Linked DNA regions of Sus scrofa. The protein of the gene in region 1 purifies or fractionates together with the protein of each later gene. This does not show direct contact. Links are inferred from orthologs where the notes say so. Each region holds a gene or a part of one and is shown on either strand. Other genes may lie near its edges.

The links.
Region 2: the proteins of CDYL (region 1) and HDAC1 purify together in Homo sapiens (affinity purification with mass spectrometry; 6 studies listed by BioGRID and IntAct, counting the BioPlex papers as one, with this or other methods). This does not show direct contact. The link is inferred for Sus scrofa from reciprocal best matches to the Homo sapiens genes CDYL and HDAC1.

The regions. Positions count from the first base shown.
Region 1 is NC_010449.5:2,950,264-2,953,917, forward strand, and holds part of CDYL (chromodomain Y-like protein), read left to right. Parts: intron 1-1,722; coding exon 1,723-1,979; intron 1,980-3,311; coding exon 3,312-3,484; intron 3,485-3,654.
Region 2 is NC_010448.4:88,780,463-88,783,171, forward strand, and holds part of HDAC1 (histone deacetylase 1), read left to right. Parts: intron 1-1,286; coding exon 1,287-1,395; intron 1,396-1,476; coding exon 1,477-1,617; intron 1,618-2,656; coding exon 2,657-2,709. UniProt on the Homo sapiens protein: Histone deacetylase that catalyzes the deacetylation of lysine residues on the N-terminal part of the core histones (H2A, H2B, H3 and H4).

The DNA.
Region 1 (3,654 bases):
CGCTCTGCCCCGGACAGGGGAGCAGTGGACGAAACCACGTCTCCCCGTCGGGCGTCCCTGCGGATGCCCGGGCTCAGGGCTTCATAATCGCCTGTGGTCCATTCCTCTCTGCACCTGAGAAGCCACCCGTCCATGTTGAGTCCTGCTCAGGACAGGGGAACGAGGGCACCCAAGGGACAGCCCAGGCGAGGCTGTGACGGGCGCGCCAACAGAGGGCAGCGCTGGGAAGCGCCGCGCGGAGGGTGTAGCCGAGCCGGGAACGCAGTGCGGGGTCTGGTGGCGGAGAGGCTGGAGGTTGAAAGGAAGAGGGGTCCTTGCCAGACCCCTCGGAAAGAGGCGGCGGCGCCCCGTCTCGCGGGTAAGGACGCCCTTTCCCTTAGAAACACCCCGGGCGCGTGGCCCTAAAAAGACCCAGCAAAGCCCCAGGGTCGTTGCGCCCGCCGCGCAGGAGCCAGCGTGTTTCTGCGGCGCTGATGCGGCCTCCCTCGCGCGTCGTCTGCCCAGTGCGGGCTCCTCTCTGGCTCCGCAGGAACCGTCTCTGACTCAGTTCCCTGGCTCTCCCTCCGAGGACCCCCGCCTTGCCTCTGAGGAGAGCGGGGTCCGGCGCTTTCATTTCCGGCCCTCAGCTCCCCTCGCAGCCTCTGCGCTTCGTTCCCGTTGGATGATATTCCGACGTGCGCAGGAGGGCAGTGAGTTGCCGCAACACCTGACCTCGTACCCTGGCGTTTCTTGGTAACGCGGGGAAAGTGTTCAGCAAAACCCTTGACCTGGTGGTTGCGCGAGACGCTAGGTTCAGGAGGCTGTGCCCTTGAGGCTGATGGAAGCCCAGCAGCCAGGCTGGCGCTGTGGAGCTGACCCAGCGGGGGCGCTAGCGGGGCATCCTCGGTGGCGGGCGAGGGCGCTGTTTGCAGATGCGGAAGGAGGACCGCCGGACAGAGGTCGAGGCGTCCAGAGAAAGACCCCGAGTGTCTGGAGTGGCCTCGGGCGGGGTGGGGGTGCCCGCCCATCATGTGTCTGAAAAGCGGCTCTTCATTCAGAAGAAATTTTGGCCAAATGGCAGATAGCCTCGGCTCTAATATTAAGATGTTTATTGATCAATTTCCTTCTTTTCTTTCAGCCTGTCCTATGTGGAACATGTGCTTTTCACGAGACCCCTTCTCTTTGAATTCCATTCTTTAAAACTCTCAAATGTGGCAGCTTCTTTTCATTACATGCCTTTTCATCATTATTTTATTAGCAAAGAGAAGGAAAAGGGCAAGTTCCTTGTCAGACTTTGAAGGAAAACAAATGCCTTGACCTGGAGGGTTTGGCCTGTTGGTTTTTTGACTTTTGGCTGCATCTATGACGTGTATAACTGCCTGGGCCAGGGACTGAACTCGCGCCACAACAGTGACAACGCTGGGTCCTTAACCCCCTGCGCCACCAGGGGATGCTGGAGTCTACATTTAAAGGCATTTACTGGCGTTCCCGGGTAACTCAGCCGGTGGAAGATCCAGCATTGTCGCTGCTGTGGCACGGGCTCAGTCCCTGGCCCGGGAAGTTTCGAATGCCACAAGTGCAGCCGGTAAAAAAGTAGACTCTCAGAAGGTTCTCGTTTTTAGCATTCTTAAGTCAGTACAGTTGATCCTGGGTCTGTCATGAGCGTTTTACCTAATTCACAGGCGGCACTGGGGGGCAAGTTGGTGGCAGGACCTCAGGACGCTGTGGCTGTCGCCTTGGCAGGTACCTCTCCGTTCATGGACGTGCTGACGGCCAATGGGCCAACCAGCCTACAGCCGTCGGTCACAGGCGTGACAGCCGGGAAGAGGAAGTTCATTGACGACAGACGAGACCAGCCTTTCGACAAGCGGCTGCGCTTCAGCGTGAGGCAGACGGAGAGCGCCTACAGGTACCGAGACATCGTCGTCCGGAAGCAGGACGGCTTCACCCACATCCTGCTGTCCACCAAGTCGTCGGAGAACAACTCACTCAACCCGGAGGTGAGCAGGGGCCTCGGGGCTGCCCCGCCGGCCGGGTCCCTGGGGCTGGAGCCAGGGGAGCGCAGCAGGTGTACAGCTGCCTGCACAAGGGCGGCCGGGCCCCCTGTGCTCCCGCCTCCAGGTCGGCAGCCGTCCATCGGGGCAGGGGGCTCTCTGACATCACGCGTGAGCTGTGTGCACCAGCCGTCCCGTCACTCTCGTCGGCGTCCCCAGGAGCTGTTCAGACAGGAGTCACACGCCCCAGCCCAGCCCCTTAGAAAACCTCACCGCCCTTCCCAGTCAGTCCCCAGCATTCCTTGGACGGGAACTTCCGGCCGAGGTGGTTCCGTTCCCATCGTGCTGGTAAAGGCAGCCCCCGAGACCGAGAGAGACCGGTGCTTGCAGAGCTTCAAAACCTGGTTCTGGGACGTCCCTCGGGTCGGAAGCGTTTGGACCTGCACCGTGTCAGGCCTGTAGCCTGTTAAGTTCCGGTCTCTCTCCCACTTGTGAGCACCCAGGTCGACCTTTTTCCAGACGAGAAAACCAAACCGCAGACAGCCAGTGTGTCTGGCCAGGGTTCCAGGACAAACCGGTTCAGGGCTGGTCCTCAGTAAGTTGTTACACTGCAGGGCACTTTGACTGCCTGTTTCTAAGTACTTCAACAGAGACTGTGTGTGTGTGTGTGAGCTTTTTATGGCTCATCCGCAGCAAATGGAGGTTCCCAGGTGGGGGGGTCAAATCAGAGCTGCAGCTGCCAGCCTGCCCCCACAGCCACGGCAACGCCGGATCCTTAACCCACTGAGCAAGGCCAGGCCAGGTTTCAAACCTGCAGCCTCGTGGATACTAGTCGGGTTCATTACCACCAAGCCACGTGGGGAACTCCATAGAGGCCATTTTAAAGGCTTGTCCCTCAGTCAAACACCACTCCACGCTGACGGGCTCCTACTCGCCACACGATGCCCCACGCTGGGCTTTCAGTCCCCAGTTGGGAGGCTGGTGTCAGACAAACAAAACAGAGCTGAACTAGCAGTTTCTTAGAACTGGATGCCTGTGCCATCTGCTGTCCAAACTGTAGAAATGCCAAGGGACTGTAATCCGTGACTCGCCTCCCAGAGCCGCCAGGTCTAGGCTGTTCAGGTTAGTTAGACGGACACGTCTGTCCTAACGAGTTTCGTGATGACACGCAGCCCCCGAGAGCCCCAGCCCCTGGCTTCACAGCACACGGACCTAGCGGGTCCCTGTAAGTGGTGGTCGATGGAGGCAGGGCCCCAAGGTGCTCTCCGAGGCTCCAGGTGCCCGGTGGGGGGGGGCCCGCAGGCTTCCCCGCAGCCCCGCGACCCCCCTGCCTTCCAGGTGATGAAGGAGGTGCAGAGTGCCCTGAGCACGGCGGCGGCCGACGACAGCAAGCTGGTGCTGCTCAGCGCTGTGGGCAGCGTCTTCTGCTGCGGCCTTGACTTCATCTACTTCATCCGGCGGCTGACCGACGACAGGAAGAGAGAGAGCACGAAGATGGCCGAGGCCATCAGGTATGCACCCCGGCCCGCCGCGACCCTCCCCTGCCGGGCCAGCTTGCTCGGGCCCGTGGACCCTCCCTCCGCTGAGAGGCTGGGAGCGAAGGTACCCAGTCTCCCGTTCTTCTGGGGGCCCCTGGCCTGGAGCCGAGGCCCGATCACAGGGCTGGCCCGTCCCAGCCTCA
Region 2 (2,709 bases), on another chromosome or scaffold:
CTGTTTTTGAGGGATGAACAGAGGAGTGAGAGAGAAACTGCTTCCTGAGCTGAGGAAAGGGTATTCACAGGGGTGGTGATGTTTGAGTGGACATTGAGAAATGAGTTGCCCAGGTGAAGGAGGGTGGGGCCTGGAGGGGAAGGGTGGCATTCAGCAGAGGGAAGCACACCAGCAGCAGCACAGTGGTGCCAGTATGTAGTATGTGGGCCAGCATGACGTGGGGGATGAATGCTGAAGTATGTGGTAGGAAATATTTGTTGGGGTATTTCAAAGGGAAAGGGAACCTTGAATGCCTTGCTGAGTAGTTAAATCGTCACCTATAAGCAACAAGGAACCAACCATTACTAGAGTTGTAACCTAATAAGGTAGTCATTTAGCAAATACCAAGTGCCTACTATGTGCCTTGTAGTAAGAGCGACAAAAAAGCCTGAATTCTCTCTGAGGAAGTCTGTGTCCTCAGTTACATTAGAATCTAGTGTTGGAGTTCCCGTCCTGGTTCAGTGGTTAATGAATCTGACCAGGAAGCATGAGGTTGTGGGTTCGATCCCTGGCCTTGCTCAGTGGGTTAAGGATCTGGCATTGCCTTGAGCTGTGGTGTAGGTCGCAGACGCGGCTCAGATCTGGCATTGCTGTGGCTGTGGTGTAGGTTGGCAGCTACAGCTCCGATTGGATCCCTAGCCTGCGAACCTCCATATGCTGTGGGAGAGGCCCTAGAAAAGGCAAAAAGACCAAAAAGAAAAGAATCTAGTGTGAGCGGAGTTCCCTTGTGGCACAGCAGGTTAAGGATCCTGTGTTGTCACTGTAGCAGCTTGGGCTGCTGCTGTGGTATGGGTTTGATCTCAGGAAGTTTCACATGCCATGGGCGTGGTCCCCCCAAAAAAAGTGTGAGAATGAGATGTAAAAAGTAATAGACTCCTCACAGTATCAGGCTCAAAGTCTGTAGGACCAAAAGCATAGAGCACATGCAACTAAAGGTCAGAAAGGCTTCTTGGAACAAGTGATACTGGAGCTTAGAGCAGCAAAAGGGAAAGATTTGGGGGTTGATAAGGAGGCCATTTTCGGCTCAGTATTGTTAGAGCTGGAAGGCTCTTAGAGATCCGTTCAAATTGGAGGGCTGAACACAGTGGGAAATGAGAAACCCAGGCTGGTCCTCCCTTCTCTCTACCACCCAGCATGAGGAGGAGTGGGTGATGAGTAACAGAAGATAGTGCTGCACCCCCACTTTTCAGTCTGAACTTCGAATAGCTTTTCTTGAGGCTCAGCGTGACCAGGATGTGTCCTTTCAGGTCATGTCCAAAGTAATGGAGATGTTCCAGCCTAGTGCGGTCGTCTTACAGTGTGGCTCTGACTCCCTGTCTGGGGATCGGTTAGGTTGCTTCAATTTGACCATCAAAGGTGAGACCAGGTAGCATAGGGACGGATGGGCAGGGTCCTGCTGGGTGCTCCTGTAACTTGGCACCCCTTCTCCCACTAAAGGGCACGCCAAGTGTGTGGAGTTTGTGAAGAGCTTCAACCTACCTATGTTGATGCTGGGAGGAGGTGGCTACACCATTCGTAATGTCGCCCGGTGCTGGACATATGAAACAGCTGTGGCCCTGGACACGGAGATCCCTAATGGTAATAGCTCCAGGGCCAGATTGGGCTGGGAGTGCTGGAGCGTGTGTGTCCTGAAGTTCACAGCCCCATTCTCATTGGCCATACAACCTCTCCTCTTCTGACTTGATTCTCCTGCTGTCCTCTTGTGATTTCCAGACCATAGCTGTCAATTTTTCTGGGTCTTGACCCTATGCTTTCTCCCCTTTGCTTCTGGTCTGGACAGAATTACCAGCAGTTGTATATGCTTTTGGAATTAATACTCTATAGGGTAACTGGGATAGTTAAGTGAAGGAGTGATCACAATGAGTTATTGCCTAAATTTTTCTTTTTTTCTTTTTAGGGCCACACTCCTGACATATTGAAGTTCCCAGGTTAGGGGGTGAATCAGAGATTCAGCTGCCGGCCTACACCACAGCCACAGCAATGCAGGATCTGAGTTGCATCTGTGACCTATACCACAGCTCCACAGCTCGCGGCAGTGCCAGATCCTTAACACACACACACACATACACACACTCTCTCTCTCTGCAGGATCTGAGCTGCATCTGTGACCTATACCACAGCTCGCGGCAGTGCCACATCCTTAACACACACACACACACACACACACACACACACACCACTCCCCCTCCAGTGCCACATCCTTAACACACCCACACACACACACACACACACACACACACACACACACACACACACACACACACACACACACACACACACACACACCACTCCCCCTCCAGTGGACACTGGAGAGTCGCTTTTAAAAAACTGAAATCCTGGAGTTAAGGATCTGGCATTGCTGTAGCTGTGGTATAGGTTACAGGTGTGGCTTGGATTCAGTCCCTGGGTTGGAAACTTCCATATGCCAAGGGGTTGTAGCCAAAAAAGAAAAAAAAAATTAAAAATTGAAATCCTATAGGTACCCAAGTCTCACCCTATCTTGGAGGCACGCTTCTTTGATAGTTGGGCTGACAGGTCCAGATAAACCTATAGATGCTTTTCTCAGGGTCCCATGGTCACCAGATCTCTTGACTCTCTCACCCCCTGCCCCAATTAGAGCTTCCGTACAACGACTGCTTTGAATACTTCGGACCAGATTTCAAACTTCAC